4 linked regions of the Saccharomyces cerevisiae S288C genome follow. The protein of the gene in region 3 binds, or shares a complex with, the protein of the main gene of each other region. Each region holds a gene or a part of one and is shown on either strand. Other genes may lie near its edges. The genes, in order: NUP159, NUP49, SEH1 and NUP42.

The links.
Region 1: SEH1 (region 3) and NUP159 share a complex: the UniProt entries of both Saccharomyces cerevisiae proteins name them as parts of the nuclear pore complex.
Region 2: SEH1 (region 3) and NUP49 share a complex: the UniProt entries of both Saccharomyces cerevisiae proteins name them as parts of the nuclear pore complex.
Region 4: SEH1 (region 3) and NUP42 share a complex: the UniProt entries of both Saccharomyces cerevisiae proteins name them as parts of the nuclear pore complex.

Annotation. Positions count from the first base shown.
Region 1 is NC_001141.2:143,635-150,921, reverse strand, and holds NUP159 (FG-nucleoporin NUP159), read left to right. Parts: upstream 1-2,212; coding exon 2,213-6,595; downstream 6,596-7,287. Other genes in the region: mitogen-activated protein kinase tyrosine protein phosphatase SDP1, read right to left, coding at 1-363; putative porin POR2, read left to right, coding at 934-1,779; HIS5 (histidinol-phosphate transaminase), read right to left, coding at 6,837-7,287. UniProt on the Saccharomyces cerevisiae protein: Functions as a component of the nuclear pore complex (NPC).
Region 2 is NC_001139.9:178,704-183,240, forward strand, and holds NUP49 (FG-nucleoporin NUP49), read left to right. Parts: upstream 1-1,996; coding exon 1,997-3,415; downstream 3,416-4,537. Other genes in the region: chromatin-binding exonuclease XRN1, read right to left, coding at 1-1,410; RNA-dependent ATPase ROK1, read left to right, coding at 3,687-4,537. UniProt on the Saccharomyces cerevisiae protein: Functions as a component of the nuclear pore complex (NPC).
Region 3 is NC_001139.9:311,324-315,204, forward strand, and holds SEH1 (Seh1p), read left to right. Parts: upstream 1-1,910; coding exon 1,911-2,960; downstream 2,961-3,881. Other genes in the region: 60S ribosomal protein uL15 RPL28, read left to right, coding at 204-604; YGK1 (5'-deoxynucleotidase), read left to right, coding at 870-1,517; ribosome biogenesis GTPase LSG1, read left to right, coding at 3,308-3,881. UniProt on the Saccharomyces cerevisiae protein: Functions as a component of the nuclear pore complex (NPC).
Region 4 is NC_001136.10:842,941-847,149, reverse strand, and holds NUP42 (FG-nucleoporin NUP42), read left to right. Parts: upstream 1-2,288; coding exon 2,289-3,581; downstream 3,582-4,209. Other genes in the region: MSS116 (ATP-dependent RNA helicase), read left to right, coding at 1-1,198; NAD-dependent histone deacetylase HST4, read right to left, coding at 3,701-4,209. UniProt on the Saccharomyces cerevisiae protein: Functions as a component of the nuclear pore complex (NPC).

The sequences.
Region 1 (7,287 bases), on a different chromosome or scaffold from region 3:
TGATGGCAAGTCCAACGCAATCTGCGAATCATGTTCCCATCGGTAGTGATGGTACTCGACAGCAGGAACCTGCATTCGTAAATCGTTTGCCTCTTCAGCAACGTTGATGACCACATCAAAGGGTAAAAGCTCTTTTACCGTGGGCTCTGAATAAAGGTAGATCTTTTCCGGGAGAACAAGTAATGGGCCTTTTGGGTAGATTCTGCGCACGTCCAAACTCGAACAAGGCACGAATTCACGGTCTTCATTCGGGCTTTCTTTGTCCGTAGACCTCTCATCTGTGGCCAGCATAGGAAGAGATGGTCTTTGGCCACTCTTTGGTGCGATGTTCGGTGTTCGCGTGGGTGATGTGTATATGTTCATGCGAGATTATGGCTACAAGTGCGCAGCCGTATGTGTTATTTTAGATAATAGATTATCTTCAACTTTGTTGCTGATCTTGTCTTACTCGTTCTTTTATATCACCCAGTATACCATAAAGGGGATAAGAACTGATTAAAGTTATTCGCTGCGGCAACCTAATTAGGAAGTTGCCTGTTCCAGAAGGGGAGTTGCCAAGGCCGCGCCGTACGACGCAAAAACCCTTTTCTATCTGGAAGATATCTCCTATTCCAATAGTGTGCGCCCTGCCTAGCAAATGAGACGAATAACGGATTCCGCAGAAATGACACACTGCAAAATCTGTTCGTAGTTTTCAGCATTTAAAAGTTTAGTTCTTTTTCTATGCTGCGACTGAGCTTCTGCATTTTTTAACCAAATACTAATTTGTCTTACATGATTGAAAGCGCCTTTAGCAATTCCTTTCCTTTTTTCTCGCTTCCAATTGCAGAAATGGAACAAAAAGAAAAGAAAGAATAGTGAAGATGGAGCTCTTCTGTTTTATTCTCGAGTGAAGGAATTGCATGAAGAGGAAAGTGTTAGAAATTACCTACGATGGCACTACGATTTTTCAACGATATATCTAGAGATGTCAATGGCCTATTCAATAGGGACTTTTTTCACACCAACCCCCTCTCTTTGAATATTTCAACAACCACGGAAAATGGTGTGAATTTTACTCTGAAGGCGAAGCAGGGCGTGACAGAAGGCCCCATCCAAACTAGCGTAGAAGGACGGTTTTATGACAGGAAGGAGGGAGTGTCGCTATCTCAGAGTTGGTCGAACCAGAACAGGTTAAATACAAGAATCGAATTTTCCAAGATAGCACCTGGTTGGAAAGGTGATGTCAACGCATTTTTGACTCCCCAATCCATCAAGAACGCCAAATTTAATTTGAGCTACGCCCAAAAATCGTTTGCAGCAAGAACTTCTATAGACATCTTGCAACCTAAGGACTTTGTCGGAAGTGTTACTTTGGGCCACCGCGGGTTTGTTGGCGGCACTGACATCGCATATGACACAGCTGCGGGTTTATGTGCACGCTATGCTATGTCAATCGGGTATCTTGCCAGAGAATATTCGTTTATTTTGTCTACTAACAACAGGCAATGCGCAACTGCTTCATTTTTTCAAAACGTTAACCGCTATTTGCAAGTGGGAACTAAAGCCACTTTACAATCGAAGACAAGTTCTAATATGAACATTGAATTTGTTACCAGATACGTACCAGATTCTATTTCGCAAGTTAAGGCAAAAATTGCAGATTCAGGCCTGACTACATTGTCGTACAAGCGAAATTTGAATAAAGATATTTCTTTGGGTGTGGGTATGTCTTTCAATGCGCTACAACTGACTGAACCAGTCCACAAATTTGGCTGGTCTCTATCGTTCTCGCCCTGAGAGATTTTATTTTCTTATAAATTTTACTAAATAAGGATTTGTACTTTTGATAGAGTTTTTTTTTTTTCTGACGTTTGTTTAGTTAATATTATATAATAGTATTTAGGAAACTAGGTGGGAGGGGACATCGCAACTTTTATCGTGACCTACGACCAGTGTTTTTTCAATTGTTTGATCAAAAGAGAAAAAAAGACAAAGGACCGAAGGATAGTTGCACGCATAAACTGGAGAAAAAATTGTGTTTGACATCGGCGTTTAGGCTTGTTTGTTCTGTCACACATACGCTGCTTCACACCAATTCATATTTCTCAGGTTAATTTGTCTCCTCTCCAACTTCAATAACGATTTTGCGTGAAGGTTTAATTTCATTATTGCAATTTTAGCAGAGAAACGCACATAAATATATATATATTGATTACAGAACCATTATAACATGTCTTCTTTGAAGGATGAAGTACCCACTGAGACTTCCGAAGACTTCGGTTTTAAGTTTTTAGGTCAAAAACAAATTCTACCTTCCTTCAATGAAAAACTGCCATTTGCATCTCTACAAAATCTCGATATTTCAAACAGTAAGTCTTTATTCGTTGCTGCCTCTGGTAGTAAGGCGGTGGTCGGCGAATTACAATTACTGAGAGATCATATCACCTCCGACTCTACTCCGTTAACGTTCAAGTGGGAGAAAGAAATCCCAGATGTAATATTTGTGTGCTTTCATGGTGATCAGGTTTTGGTTTCAACCAGAAATGCATTATATTCGTTAGACTTGGAGGAATTGAGTGAATTTCGAACGGTCACTTCTTTTGAGAAGCCAGTTTTCCAATTGAAGAACGTTAATAACACTTTAGTAATTTTAAATTCAGTCAATGATTTATCAGCACTGGATTTAAGAACAAAATCGACTAAGCAACTGGCACAAAACGTTACCTCTTTTGATGTCACAAATTCGCAGTTAGCAGTTCTACTAAAAGATAGAAGTTTTCAAAGTTTTGCATGGCGAAATGGCGAAATGGAAAAACAATTTGAGTTCTCTCTACCGTCAGAATTAGAAGAGCTTCCAGTAGAAGAATATTCCCCTTTGAGTGTTACCATTCTCTCTCCACAGGATTTTTTGGCGGTTTTCGGTAATGTTATATCAGAGACCGATGACGAAGTTTCATACGATCAAAAAATGTACATTATAAAGCACATAGACGGCAGCGCCTCATTTCAAGAAACTTTTGATATTACACCTCCATTCGGGCAAATAGTAAGGTTCCCATATATGTACAAAGTTACCTTGTCTGGTTTAATTGAACCTGATGCAAACGTAAATGTGCTAGCATCATCATGTTCAAGTGAAGTAAGTATATGGGACTCGAAACAAGTTATTGAACCTTCCCAGGATTCTGAACGAGCAGTATTGCCCATCAGTGAGGAAACAGATAAGGACACAAATCCAATAGGTGTGGCAGTTGACGTCGTTACTTCAGGCACTATTCTAGAACCTTGTTCCGGTGTTGATACGATAGAGCGATTGCCGCTCGTTTACATATTGAATAACGAAGGTAGCTTACAGATAGTCGGGTTGTTTCATGTGGCAGCAATCAAAAGCGGCCATTATAGCATAAATCTGGAATCTTTAGAACATGAGAAATCTCTCTCTCCTACATCAGAAAAAATTCCTATTGCTGGACAGGAGCAGGAAGAAAAAAAGAAAAATAATGAATCAAGTAAGGCTTTATCAGAGAATCCTTTCACATCAGCAAATACATCAGGCTTCACTTTTCTTAAAACACAACCAGCCGCTGCCAATAGCCTGCAGTCTCAAAGTTCTTCAACCTTTGGTGCTCCCTCATTTGGATCATCCGCATTTAAAATTGACTTGCCATCAGTCTCATCTACCAGTACTGGTGTAGCGTCCAGTGAACAAGACGCAACAGATCCTGCTTCTGCTAAGCCAGTATTCGGCAAACCCGCGTTCGGAGCTATTGCCAAAGAACCGTCAACATCAGAATATGCCTTTGGCAAGCCATCTTTTGGTGCTCCCTCCTTTGGCTCTGGAAAGTCATCTGTTGAATCGCCTGCCTCCGGATCTGCCTTTGGTAAGCCCTCTTTTGGTACTCCTTCCTTTGGCTCTGGAAATTCATCTGTTGAGCCGCCTGCCTCCGGATCTGCATTTGGTAAGCCCTCTTTTGGTACTCCTTCCTTTGGCTCTGGAAATTCATCTGCTGAGCCGCCTGCTTCCGGATCTGCCTTTGGTAAGCCCTCTTTTGGTACATCTGCATTCGGAACTGCATCAAGTAACGAAACTAACTCTGGATCCATATTTGGAAAGGCTGCATTTGGTTCATCATCTTTTGCACCCGCCAACAATGAACTTTTCGGATCAAACTTTACTATTTCAAAACCTACAGTTGACAGCCCAAAGGAGGTAGATTCAACGTCACCTTTCCCATCTTCTGGCGATCAAAGTGAAGATGAGTCTAAGAGTGATGTAGACTCTTCTTCGACACCTTTTGGTACGAAACCTAACACCTCTACGAAACCAAAGACCAATGCCTTTGATTTTGGGAGTTCTTCCTTTGGATCTGGATTTTCAAAGGCTCTGGAATCTGTTGGTTCCGATACAACTTTTAAATTCGGTACTCAGGCTTCACCTTTCTCTTCACAGTTAGGAAACAAATCACCATTCAGTTCCTTCACAAAAGATGATACTGAAAATGGATCTTTAAGTAAGGGCTCTACCAGTGAAATCAATGACGATAATGAAGAACACGAAAGCAATGGTCCCAACGTAAGCGGTAATGATTTGACAGATTCTACGGTTGAGCAAACATCTTCTACTAGATTACCGGAAACTCCCTCGGATGAAGATGGTGAAGTTGTCGAGGAGGAAGCGCAAAAATCCCCCATAGGCAAGCTAACTGAAACTATAAAAAAAAGTGCCAATATTGACATGGCTGGTTTAAAAAATCCTGTATTTGGAAATCATGTCAAAGCAAAATCCGAATCGCCGTTTTCAGCATTTGCAACAAATATTACCAAACCAAGCTCTACAACACCTGCTTTTTCGTTTGGTAACTCCACAATGAATAAAAGTAATACATCTACGGTTTCACCAATGGAAGAAGCTGATACTAAAGAAACTAGTGAAAAGGGCCCCATAACCTTGAAGAGTGTGGAGAATCCGTTTCTACCAGCGAAAGAAGAAAGAACTGGAGAAAGTTCTAAAAAGGATCATAACGATGACCCAAAAGATGGTTATGTATCAGGAAGTGAAATATCTGTAAGGACTTCTGAAAGTGCTTTTGATACCACAGCAAACGAAGAAATTCCAAAGTCACAGGACGTGAACAATCATGAAAAAAGCGAAACAGACCCAAAATATAGTCAACATGCTGTGGTTGATCACGATAACAAGTCTAAAGAAATGAATGAAACTTCGAAGAATAATGAAAGGAGCGGTCAACCAAATCATGGTGTCCAAGGAGATGGAATAGCATTGAAAAAAGACAATGAAAAAGAGAATTTTGATTCAAATATGGCAATAAAGCAATTCGAAGACCACCAATCTTCAGAAGAGGACGCGAGCGAAAAAGACAGTAGACAAAGCAGTGAAGTTAAAGAATCAGATGATAACATGTCACTCAACAGTGACCGGGATGAAAGTATATCTGAGTCCTACGATAAACTGGAAGATATTAATACTGATGAGCTACCTCATGGTGGAGAAGCTTTTAAAGCACGTGAAGTGAGCGCTTCCGCTGATTTTGATGTACAAACTTCATTAGAAGACAATTATGCTGAATCTGGCATACAGACAGACCTTTCAGAAAGTTCCAAGGAAAATGAAGTTCAAACGGATGCCATACCCGTGAAACACAACAGTACACAAACTGTTAAGAAGGAAGCAGTCGACAATGGTCTGCAAACTGAGCCTGTTGAAACATGTAATTTTTCTGTTCAAACATTTGAAGGTGACGAAAATTATTTAGCAGAGCAATGCAAACCAAAGCAATTGAAAGAATATTACACAAGTGCAAAAGTATCAAATATTCCTTTCGTTTCACAAAATTCTACGTTAAGGTTGATTGAGAGTACATTTCAGACGGTCGAAGCTGAGTTTACTGTTCTGATGGAAAACATCCGGAATATGGATACTTTTTTTACTGATCAATCGAGCATCCCTTTGGTGAAGCGTACAGTGCGGTCTATCAATAATCTGTATACTTGGAGAATACCAGAGGCTGAAATTCTATTAAATATTCAGAATAATATCAAGTGTGAACAAATGCAAATAACAAATGCTAACATTCAAGACCTGAAGGAAAAAGTTACAGATTATGTCAGGAAAGATATTGCACAAATAACTGAAGATGTAGCCAATGCAAAAGAGGAGTATCTGTTTTTAATGCATTTTGATGATGCTTCGAGTGGATACGTTAAAGATCTCAGCACGCATCAATTTAGAATGCAAAAGACATTACGTCAAAAGCTATTCGATGTGTCCGCCAAAATTAATCATACTGAAGAGTTGCTGAACATTTTAAAATTGTTCACTGTAAAGAATAAGAGATTGGACGATAATCCATTAGTGGCAAAACTAGCTAAAGAATCTCTTGCACGTGACGGTTTACTAAAAGAAATCAAATTATTGCGTGAGCAAGTGAGTAGGTTACAATTGGAGGAGAAAGGTAAAAAGGCTTCGTCGTTCGATGCATCCTCTTCAATAACAAAGGACATGAAAGGATTTAAAGTAGTAGAAGTTGGGTTGGCCATGAATACGAAAAAGCAAATTGGTGATTTCTTCAAAAATTTGAACATGGCAAAATAGTGATATTTAGCTATATGTACGTTGTTAGTGCCGTTAATAATAAATTCATCCTCTATCATAGAAACAGGGCATGAGAAACGAAGAAAAATTGATATTGTAACAATATCATGAGACCTTTTATAGAAGTGGCGCCAAAACTAAATGTATTTGAAAATACAAAAAACGCACAGGTTTCTTTATATATGTATATATATATATATATATATATAAAACTGTACATATACTGTTTAAATTAATCTATTTATTCATTGGCCAGCTTATATAACGTCTCCTTGAAGTACTTTATCAAATGTGTGTTCTCCTCATGGGTTCCAACGGTAATTCTCAAACATCCGGAACAGCCTAATTCGTTACCTCTAAATCTGACGACAACCCCAGATTGAGTAGCCAATTGGTAATATAACTTCTTTGCCAAGACATTGTCACCCCCGTTGATCCGTATTAAAAGAAAATTAGCATCTAATCCACCAACATATTGGTCATCAACGTAATCCAAAGCAGTTAATTCCTTTAAGAGGCGCATTTTCTCTTCATTGATTATTTTCGAAGTGGCTTCCATCTTCTTTAGATTACTGTCTTGAACAGCTTTTAGTGCATATTCAGAGGCTAGGGAGGAAATATTATAAGGCGCCTTCATTGCATTTAAAATTCTGGCCAACTCTGCTGTTGCATATGTCATACCCAACCTAATC
Region 2 (4,537 bases), 130 kb from region 3:
TTCTTCTTCTGTTTCATCAGGATTAATAGAATCAAGATCCATTTTTAGCGAATAACTACCTTTGGATTTGGAATGCGTTATAAAAAGACCCAAATCAAAAGCGAATTCTTTTAAAAATTCTAAATGATCTTTCATGTCTAAGTCCTTAGGTAACTCTAAAGTTGGAATTTCTTCATCTGGTAAATCAGGCGATAATTTTTCCTGTAATTGCTCCATCAACCATGGTTTTATACTTCCAATTAATTTCTTCTGTTGTTTTACCAGTAATTTTTTACCAACCCTCTGTCTTTTCCTTTCACCCTCCAAAGAAATATTCTCTAATTGCTTGTTGAACCACTCAACGTCTATATCATCCTTTTCGAAATTTAATAACTCAAATTGAGACAGATAATTTAACCAGACACCTAATCTCTTTAAATTTATTTTACCATGTTCATTAATGTAGCCATCAGTATGTAAAAGAGCTTCTTTGAACGTTTGTAACAAAACGGGAAATGCTCCTTTGTTAAGGTGCAAATCTGGCAAATTGGGCAAGAAATCATTACCAATGACGAACATGACAAGAATAAAATCATCCAAAATACGTTCAAAATTGTATTCAAATTGCATTTCATCGGCAATTTCTTTGAATTCCAACTCCATGTATTCTCTTAATAAAGAAAGATGTAATAAGTAGAAATTTTGATGTTCAAGCGATTTTTTTTCACTATTTCTTCTACCAAATGTCACTTCTTCTCTCAATAACGCAAAATGTGGCCCATGAGTAGACAAACCCAGCATAATCAAATCTGCGTCAAGACCGTAAATACAATGTCTCGTATTCTGGTTGAAATCCTTTTGGGATTTTAAATGCCTTATAAAGTTCATGATCTTGTGTTCACCTTCACCTGGAACTTCATGGCCAGAAAATATGATTTGCACTTCCCTCCATTTGGAATCGTTAGAAATCTTGTCGTGAATAAAATATTGTAAGTTTTTGGTCAATTTGGCCATAAACTCCGTACCTGGAGTAATAGAATTCGAATCAAATGGCTCACCCTTAGGAATCTCGTCACCATTCTCAATAGCCTTCTTCAAGGCTTTTTCTGCATCCATAGCGGTTCTGAATCTACGAGCTCTTTGTTGATTCATCTTGGCACGAGGGGCCACACCATCAATAGCCATGTAGAAAATCTTCTTGGGCTTGATTGTTTGAAAAAGGTGATCGATATACGTACAGATTTTTGCAAAAACCTCTTCTTCAGTTAATCGCTTGGTTACATCATCGTCGTTACCATGCGTACAATTATGTAAAATCGAATTCATATCCAGGTATAAGTTATCAAACTCAGGAATCTGTGTTCCCTCAATAAGCTGTAAAATCATGGGCCATCTTTCTGAGATGTACCTGAAAAATTTTGGAATACCCATACCGTACTGATATATATTTGTTGCTGCTGTTGTTACAAGTGTTGATTTTTTTTCTCCTTATAGTACACGAATCGTCCTAGGATTAGTCAATTGCTTATTGTGAACCCGATTATAAGTACGGAAGAAGACAGTATCCTTTAGAAAATAAACTATTAACAGGAACGGAAATAAAAGGCAGAGAGAAAATAATAAAAGAATCGGTTCGCTTGTGCGAACGCCAAACAGATTTTATAATAACGGAAGAGCTGCTGAAAAAAAAAGCAAGCTGCAACTGTTATATTTGCGTAGATAAACTTTACAACCGGTAATTGGAAGTCGTAAGTACTTAGTTTGACGTTTTCAGTACTCGTTAAACTACTCCTTAAATTGCTTTCTAACCTCTTCTTGTTTGTCTCTGTTGTTACTTGCTCTGCGGTGGCGAAAAGACGAGCAAAGGAGGTTGTATATATCACTCAACACGGAATGTATTACAGCTTTCTCAAATAAATGTAGTTGAAAAAGACCATTAATCGTGAGAATAGTTACTGATCAGGTGATGAGACGATAAAAACAGTAATTGAGAGGGTTTTCACGGGTAGTGGGCACAATGTTTGGATTAAATAAAGCATCTTCGACACCTGCAGGTGGGCTCTTTGGTCAGGCCAGCGGAGCTAGCACTGGAAACGCGAATACTGGGTTTTCGTTTGGTGGGACTCAAACTGGACAAAACACCGGCCCAAGTACAGGTGGACTATTTGGCGCTAAACCAGCCGGATCTACAGGAGGATTAGGTGCATCATTTGGTCAGCAGCAACAACAATCTCAGACAAATGCATTTGGAGGAAGCGCCACCACCGGAGGGGGCCTTTTCGGTAACAAACCTAACAATACGGCGAACACTGGGGGCGGGTTATTTGGCGCTAATTCGAACAGTAATTCTGGCAGTTTGTTTGGTTCCAACAATGCACAGACGAGTCGTGGTTTGTTTGGTAATAATAACACTAATAATATCAATAATAGTAGTAGTGGCATGAATAATGCAAGCGCTGGACTATTTGGCTCTAAACCTGCAGGAGGCACTTCTTTGTTCGGTAATACAAGCACCTCTTCGGCCCCTGCGCAGAACCAGGGCATGTTTGGTGCAAAACCAGCTGGTACATCTCTATTCGGCAATAATGCAGGTAATACGACCACTGGTGGAGGGTTATTTGGCTCCAAACCGACAGGAGCAACGTCTTTGTTTGGTTCATCAAATAACAACAACAATAACAATAATAGTAACAACATCATGAGTGCGTCAGGCGGGCTATTTGGTAATCAGCAGCAGCAACTGCAGCAACAACCACAAATGCAGTGCGCATTGCAAAATCTATCTCAGCTCCCTATTACCCCAATGACACGGATTTCCGAATTACCACCTCAAATACGTCAAGAAATTGAACAACTAGATCAATATATTCAAAAACAAGTGCAGATCTCGCACCATTTGAAGGCCGATACAATCGATCATGATGAATTGATAGATTCCATTCCTCGTGATGTTGCATACCTACTGAAGTCAGAATCTGCAACAAGTCAATATTTAAAGCAAGATTTGAAGAAAATATCCTCATTTAAATCGCTAATCGATGAGGACCTTCTAGACACGCAAACTTTTTCGGTGCTCTTACAGCAACTATTAACTCCGGGAAGCAAAATTTCTTCTAATGACTTAGACAAATTCTTTCAAAAGAAAATTCATCTCTACGAGAAGAAGTTAGAGGATTACTGCCGTATTCTCTCTGATATAGAAACTGCGGTAAATGGCATTGATACAGATTTATTTGGCGCCCCAAATAACCCTAATTCTACAGCTATCACAGCAGATCTAGGTTCATCCGAAGCAGAGAACCTACTGCAGTTGAAGACAGGCTTAGCTGCCATAGTCTCTACTGTCATTGAGGAATTCACACTGTTTATGGATATCGCTGAGAGAATCGCCGTGTTACATCAAAAAACGAAAACACTGGCATCATTGAGCATATGAGTAAATCGCCCTGAAAGTTTATATAGTGCGTATAACAAGTACAAATGTCTTGTACAAATGTAATTTATACTAAATGCAATAGAATATAACATCAATCACAGTTTTTCAGTCACCATAATGGCGTCTTAGAGGCCGAACTAACTTTTCTTCGTGAAAAATTTTTTGCGATGAGATGGGAAGGAAAAAAAGTAATATTGACATCTTCAATTGAGAGATATTACCTGCAAAAAGGTACATACGATAGTAGAAGTTATCGAACAGGCAAGCCACCATGGATATTTTTAGAGTATTAACTAGAGGAGCTTCCGTGAAGAAAGAGTCAGGCCCAAAGGCTAAGGCAGCAGATTACAGCGTTATAAATGGAAATGATGAGAATCATAAGGAAGATAATAATGAAAGCCAGATCGTGAAAGAACTTGATTTCTTTCGAAACAAGAGAATCATTAGCAAGGTAGAGGATGATAGAGAGAAGACAACCGAAAACGATTCTCCAAACAAAGAGGAGAAGAGCGGCAATGATGATGGTCTGATAAAACCAGTGATTACCAATACCGTTGAGGCATCCGCGTTGAGAAAATCATATAAGGGAAACGTGTCGGGTATAGATATACCACTTCCAATAGGTTCGTTTGAAGATTTAATTTCAAGGTTTTCATTCGATAAGCGTTTACTGAATAACTTGATTGAAAACGGGTTTACTGAGCCTACCCCAATTCAATGTGAATGTATTCCTGTTGCTTTGAATAATAGAGACGTTTTGGCATGTGGTCCCACAGGGTCTGGTAAGACGTTAGCATTCTTAATTCCGCTGGTTCAGCAGATTATTGATGACAAGCAAACTGCAGGGTTGAAAGGGTTAATCATTTCGCCTACAAAGGAATTAGCGAACCAAATTTTTATTGAATGTTTTAAGCTATCTTACAAGATATTTTTGGAGAAAAAAAGGCCTCTGCAAGTTGCACTCTTATCTAAATCTTTAGGCGCTAAATTGAAAAACAAGGTAGTTAGTGATAAGAAATATGATATAATCATTTCTACCCCATTAAGACTAATCGATGTTGTGAAAAACGAAGCTCTCGATCTCTCCAAAGTTAAGCATTTGATATTTGATGAAGCTGATAA
Region 3 (3,881 bases):
GTCTACTCATTTTACGGCTATAAAAGGTAACTTTCATTTAGATTATGGAAAGCACTAATTATCGCTGTATCAAATGGTTGTAGAGAGCGCAATTATGAAAAAGAGTTACCACGTTTCTTTTGTTTCGATAAAATGTCCAGTTGAAAACCTGTTTTACTAACGATTTAAAAATTGTATTTCATTACAATATTTTTTTTGTACAGCCGGTAAAGGTCGTATCGGTAAGCACAGAAAGCACCCCGGTGGTAGAGGTATGGCCGGTGGTCAACATCACCACAGAATTAACATGGATAAATACCATCCAGGTTATTTCGGTAAGGTTGGTATGAGATACTTCCACAAGCAACAAGCTCATTTCTGGAAGCCAGTCTTGAACTTGGACAAATTGTGGACATTGATCCCAGAAGACAAGAGAGACCAATACTTGAAATCTGCTTCTAAGGAAACTGCTCCAGTTATTGACACTTTGGCAGCCGGTTACGGTAAGATCTTGGGTAAGGGTAGAATTCCAAATGTTCCAGTTATCGTCAAAGCTAGATTCGTCTCCAAGTTGGCTGAAGAAAAAATCAGAGCTGCTGGTGGTGTTGTTGAATTGATCGCTTAAGCGCATCAACAAAAACTCTATGTATTTTCCAATAAATTATATATCTTCAGTTTAATCTAATTCAACATCTACTTCTGTATTATTTCTATCACCCATTTTCACCGTTTTTTCGTCTTGTCTATTTTGAAGTTACCAGTGGCAGATCCCAACGCTTTTATCGCTTTTTTAAAAGATTTTCAAAATCCATATATAAACATAGGGTCCAAAAAGAAAACAAATAACAAAACAAGAAAACCTATTCGAGGTAAAGACCAGGAAAAACAAAATGACTGCAGTTAACATCTGGAAGCCAGAAGATAATATACCTAGGGAGATTTTGGCAATTCTTTCGAAACCTCACCCAAATTATCAGTTAGCGTTTTTGAATATTATACAACTTTTGAAAACGCAAAGAAGAACTGGTTGGGTTGACCATGGTATTGACCCATGCGAAAGTATATCTGACCATATGTACAGAATGGGTTTAACTACCATGCTGATTACGGACAAGAATGTTGATCGTAACAAATGTATCAGAATCGCACTTGTTCACGATTTTGCGGAGTCATTAGTTGGTGATATTACACCTAATGACCCAATGACAAAGGAAGAGAAACATCGCAGAGAATTTGAAACTGTCAAGTATCTCTGTGAAAGCATAATAAGGCCCTGCAGTGAAAGCGCATCTAGGGAAATTCTTGATGACTGGTTAGCATACGAAAAGCAGACCTGTTTGGAAGGAAGATATGTCAAAGATATTGATAAGTATGAAATGTTGGTTCAATGTTTTGAGTACGAACAAAAGTATAATGGCAAGAAGGATTTGAAACAATTTTTGGGAGCCATCAATGATATAAAAACTGATGAAGTTAAAAAATGGACACAATCTTTACTGGAAGATCGACAAGCCTTTTTCGACAGTTTGAAGGAGTAATAATGTGGCCTTTTGAAAGAAAAGTTAGTGCTTTTTTTTCTTTTCTCAAACCTTCACCTGGTGGTGCGTATCATTTATAATAACATCTTGATGCTTTTCAACGAGATAGTGCCCATTTTATTTTGCATGTATTATACTTCCAGCACCCGGTGTGCATTATATGTAACTTTAGAAATAATCTTTTGTATATTATTCGCGATTGAATGTGCGTGCTGCATTATCAACCAAGTTTTAATATATCTGTTTCTCTTATTTATTGTTAGTTAAGTCTTCGGCAAAACGATGGAAAAAATCATGAACTGAATAGAGACAAGTAAACCAAATTATAAACAAGGTTTCCCTTCTGAAGAGATACTAAGGAAGAAGAAGAACGACCCAATAATATTTCTGAATATGCAACCATTTGATAGTGGGCATGATGATTTAGTTCATGATGTCGTTTATGACTTTTACGGAAGACATGTGGCAACATGCTCTTCTGATCAACATATTAAAGTTTTTAAATTAGACAAGGACACGAGTAATTGGGAACTCAGTGACTCATGGAGAGCTCACGACAGTAGTATCGTGGCCATTGATTGGGCCAGTCCAGAATATGGGCGCATCATTGCTTCAGCCTCTTACGATAAGACGGTAAAATTATGGGAAGAAGATCCCGACCAAGAAGAATGCTCTGGCCGTCGTTGGAACAAGCTGTGTACCCTGAATGATTCCAAAGGATCACTTTATAGTGTAAAATTTGCGCCAGCGCATTTGGGCTTAAAATTAGCTTGTTTGGGTAACGATGGAATCCTCAGACTTTATGATGCCTTAGAACCTTCTGACCTAAGGTCATGGACACTGACTTCTGAGATGAAAGTGCTATCTATACCACCAGCAAATCATTTACAGTCTGATTTTTGTCTCTCTTGGTGTCCTTCGAGATTTTCTCCTGAAAAGCTCGCAGTCTCTGCATTGGAACAAGCGATTATATACCAAAGGGGTAAAGACGGTAAACTTCACGTTGCAGCAAAACTTCCCGGTCATAAAAGTTTAATAAGAAGTATCAGCTGGGCTCCTTCCATTGGTAGATGGTATCAACTCATTGCAACAGGTTGCAAAGATGGTAGAATTAGAATTTTCAAAATCACAGAAAAACTAAGTCCCCTGGCCTCAGAGGAGTCTTTAACTAACTCAAATATGTTTGATAATAGTGCTGATGTTGACATGGATGCACAGGGCAGATCAGACTCAAATACCGAAGAGAAAGCTGAGCTACAATCAAACTTGCAAGTTGAACTTCTAAGCGAGCATGATGACCATAATGGCGAAGTTTGGTCCGTGTCTTGGAATTTAACGGGTACAATCTTAAGCAGTGCTGGGGATGATGGGAAGGTACGTTTATGGAAAGCCACTTATTCAAATGAATTTAAGTGTATGTCAGTAATTACTGCCCAACAATAAATAAGAATATATGTATACATAACATTATATATTGGTACTTTATACGTGTGCATTATTCTGTATAATACGAGGCAACAGATGAATCAAGAAAGATGATGCTTTTAAAAAGCTCTTACAAATATAATGATATTACATCAAATGATATTATTATTCTTGATATTGGGTATTCTTTCGAATTATATCAAGCTTCCCTTCCCTCGCCTTTTCGCCTGGAAATTTTTCAATGCCGAGATTAAAAAATTTGTCAATGAAAATGCATTCTACTACTTAATAAAGAGGTGATGAGCTTATAAGCCAACTTCTTTTAAACACAAAACTAAATCTGATATTGAGGACCCCCACCAACTATGCCACCAAAAGAAGCTCCCAAGAAATGGAAGGCGCCAAAAGGGCCAAAACCTACCCACCGTAAAAATAAAAATAAGCTTGAATTAGGCAGAGCTATTAAATATGCACGTCAAAAAGAAAATGCCATCGAGTATTTACCTGATGGTGAAATGAGGTTCACTACCGATAAGCATGAGGCCAACTGGGTTAAATTAAGATCTGTAACTCAAGAATCAGCTTTAGATGAATTCTTGAGTACAGCTGCACTGGCAGACAAAGATTTCACGGCCGATAGACATTCAAATGTTAAAATTATTAGAATGGATAGCGGTAATGATTCTGCGACATCTCAAGGGTTTTCTATGACTAATGAGCAGCGTGGAAATCTTAATGCGAAGCAAAGAGCGCTTGCTAAGGATTTGATTGTTCCAAGGAGGCCTGAATGGAACGAGGGCATGTCCAAGTTTCAGCTTGATAGGCAAGAAAAGGAAGCGTTTTTAGAATGGAGAAGAAAATTGGCACATTTACAAGAAAGCAATGAAGACTTGTTGTTAACACCGTTTGAAAGAAATATCGAAGTTTGGAAACAGTTAT
Region 4 (4,209 bases), on a different chromosome or scaffold from region 3:
AGATGAAGCTGACAGATTGCTAGAAATTGGATTCAGGGATGATTTAGAAACTATTTCTGGTATTTTAAATGAAAAGAACTCCAAATCAGCCGATAATATCAAGACTTTGTTGTTCTCTGCTACTCTGGACGACAAAGTACAAAAGTTGGCAAACAATATCATGAATAAAAAAGAATGTCTCTTTTTAGACACAGTAGATAAGAATGAACCTGAAGCACATGAAAGAATTGATCAGTCTGTCGTCATTTCAGAAAAGTTTGCCAATAGTATATTTGCTGCTGTGGAGCATATAAAGAAACAAATAAAGGAAAGAGATTCTAATTACAAAGCCATTATTTTTGCACCAACTGTTAAATTCACATCCTTTTTGTGCAGTATTTTAAAGAATGAATTTAAGAAAGATTTACCAATTTTGGAATTTCATGGTAAAATTACTCAAAATAAAAGAACAAGTTTAGTTAAAAGATTCAAAAAAGATGAATCCGGTATTTTGGTTTGTACGGATGTGGGAGCCCGTGGTATGGATTTCCCAAACGTCCACGAAGTTTTGCAAATTGGTGTTCCATCTGAGTTGGCTAATTATATTCATAGAATTGGTAGAACAGCCAGAAGTGGGAAAGAAGGATCTTCTGTGCTATTCATTTGTAAAGATGAATTGCCATTTGTTAGAGAGTTGGAAGATGCAAAAAATATAGTCATTGCCAAACAAGAAAAATATGAGCCCAGTGAAGAAATAAAATCTGAGGTCCTAGAGGCAGTGACCGAAGAACCGGAAGACATATCAGATATTGTAATAAGTTTAATCTCATCCTACAGATCCTGTATCAAGGAATACAGGTTTTCTGAAAGGCGCATACTTCCTGAAATTGCTTCCACTTATGGTGTACTGTTAAATGATCCTCAATTAAAGATTCCAGTATCCAGAAGGTTTTTAGATAAATTAGGTTTGAGCCGTAGTCCAATTGGTAAGGCAATGTTTGAAATTAGAGACTATAGTAGTAGAGATGGAAATAACAAGTCCTACGATTATGATGATGATTCAGAAATTTCTTTCAGAGGCAACAAAAACTATAATAATAGGAGCCAAAATAGAGATTACGATGACGAACCGTTTAGACGCAGCAACAACAATAGACGCTCATTCTCCCGTAGTAATGATAAAAATAATTACTCCAGTAGAAACAGCAACATATATTAGAAAAGATAAAAAAGGAGGACCAAGAGATGTGGGTTGTATTTTAAATAACAATTCCTCTATTAAGACGCCTGTATTTTAGACCCCATCTTGATTCAATACTTTCACGTGTAAATACCTAGTATATAAATATTAAACAAAAATTTTTTTTCTTCTCCTATTCTCTTAAAATGATAACTATACGAAGATCCTACTGGTATATTTATTCGTCAATGCTTATTTACGACCGGTACCTCCATTCTTACTTTCGCTCTTCCTCCTCTCAAAGGAAAAGTAATTCTAACATTGTAATTCTTATTTAAACGGATGGAAGAAAGCTTTTGAGAATTTACTTGAAAAGTCAGGGTGTCTTAGGCGATTGATCACGGACATAGCCATATTACGAAAACTTCATTCTGAATATTGCCAACGAGACAATCGTGGGCTTGGTAATCGTTGAAAAATTTTCACATATTTTATGAACAGCTGAGCCTATTAACAATGAAAATAGTCTATACGATAGTCCAGAACTGAATAACAGTGTCAATCACTTTTTTTTTTATGATTAAATCCTAGTTAAAGTGCCGCTCTGCGAAAGAAAAATCAATAAATACCATTTGTTAGTGATCTAGCAATAATATCAATGACATCTTGTCTTATCTTAAAAATAAACAAAAAATTCTTTACAGTGTACTGAGCATTAATCTGGCTACGGCCTGGAGGGAAATTATGTCTTATACGAATTTTGCTCCGGCAATTCTATTTACGCTGTTTAGCTTATCATGCGATTTCAACCTTCTTTATATAGTAAATTAGCTTCGAAATAAAAGTATTCGCGAGAGGACAAGACATGAAACCTAAACCACGACGCTGAAGGTAACGACATCATAATACGTTTCAAAGGGCTAACCTTAATATACTGACATCTAGAAATATATTAATTCTGCATATCAAGAAACACGCCGACTGAGGGTGCAAGGTATTTGAAAAAAAATAGTGAATCAATAGATGAGCGCACAATGTTTAAAGTACTATAACACTGAACTGTTGTACTTTAACGCAAAAGCTCATCAAGCTATCATTAAATTTCGACCCGAGCAACGACTCAACTGTAATGTCAGCTTTCGGTAACCCATTCACGTCGGGTGCTAAGCCTAATCTTTCTAATACAAGTGGTATCAACCCTTTCACAAATAATGCTGCTAGTACCAATAACATGGGAGGAAGTGCATTTGGAAGACCTAGTTTTGGAACAGCAAACACAATGACAGGAGGAACCACCACTTCAGCATTTGGAATGCCCCAGTTTGGTACCAATACAGGCAATACTGGCAATACGTCAATTAGCGCTTTTGGGAACACCAGTAATGCGGCTAAACCGTCAGCATTTGGAGCACCAGCATTTGGTTCTAGCGCCCCCATCAATGTTAATCCGCCTTCTACTACGTCAGCATTTGGAGCACCGTCATTTGGATCAACAGGTTTTGGTGCTATGGCGGCGACAAGTAATCCTTTTGGTAAAAGTCCTGGCTCAATGGGCTCTGCATTTGGTCAACCAGCTTTTGGAGCGAACAAAACTGCTATCCCTTCTAGTTCGGTTAGTAATAGTAATAACTCCGCATTTGGTGCTGCGTCAAACACGCCCTTGACCACAACTTCTCCTTTTGGTTCACTGCAACAAAACGCATCACAAAATGCATCATCTACATCGTCAGCGTTTGGCAAACCGACTTTCGGCGCAGCTACTAATACCCAGTCGCCATTTGGTACTATTCAAAATACAAGTACAAGCAGTGGGACAGGAGTATCCCCATTTGGCACATTTGGAACTAATAGTAATAACAAATCACCTTTTAGTAATCTACAGAGCGGAGCAGGCGCTGGTTCTTCGCCGTTTGGTACTACAACCTCCAAAGCTAACAACAACAATAACGTGGGCAGTAGCGCATTCGGAACGACGAATAATCAATCTCCTTTTAGCGGAGGTTCTGGGGGCACCTTTGGTTCTGCTTCTAACCTCAATAAAAATACCAATGGCAACTTTCAATCTTCTTTTGGTAATAAAGGGTTTTCATTCGGAATTACACCACAAAACGATGCCAACAAAGTCTCGCAATCGAACCCTTCATTTGGGCAAACAATGCCAAACACAGATCCGAACATAAGTTTGAAGAGCAATGGTAACGCAACCTCTTTTGGATTTGGACAACAACAGATGAATGCTACTAATGTCAACGCTAATACGGCCACCGGAAAAATTAGATTTGTTCAAGGGTTATCTTCTGAAAAGGACGGTATTCTAGAATTGGCCGATCTCGCAGAGGAAACACTGAAAATATTCAGAGCAAACAAGTTTGAACTAGGCCTTGTCCCTGATATACCTCCACCACCTGCATTGGTTGCATAGTAAGGTCAAAGAAAAACATACAAAATGGTAACTTAAACAATATATATGAATATATATATATATCTAATGAAAAATGCATTAATTTTATCTCCAACCTTTTTTGGTAGGACAAATACTTTCTATAATAATGAGGTAACATGCTGACAATCTCCCAGTACAACTAGGTCTACAAATTTCAAAGAGTCTAGCACATTCTTAGGCGGCATACTGGTGTTTAAATATAACACAATACCCCTGTTTGCATGGACTTTGGCCGCAAACTGCCTGCAAATATTTTTCACTCCGGGAATCTTCAAACTCGTTCCAACAATAATCAAACAATCAATTCTTTTCTTTAAGTCATTATTGGCAATTTCACCGATAAAATCACCTTCAGGGTGGACCTCATTGTATAAAATTACTCTTGGACGCAACTTGCCCACACCAGTAGATCTTAAGCCTGCCATTTTTCTAACTGTTTCATATTCTTCACATTGTGGACATGACGGTATGATTTCAGTCCGAGAATCAAATTTGTCGTCGCATTTGAACAGTTCAGGGTCAAAAGGTTTGATATTCAGACATTTATTGCATTCCATGTGTTTTATGCTTCCGTGTAATTGTACTGTACTGGGTATTGGCTTCGCCA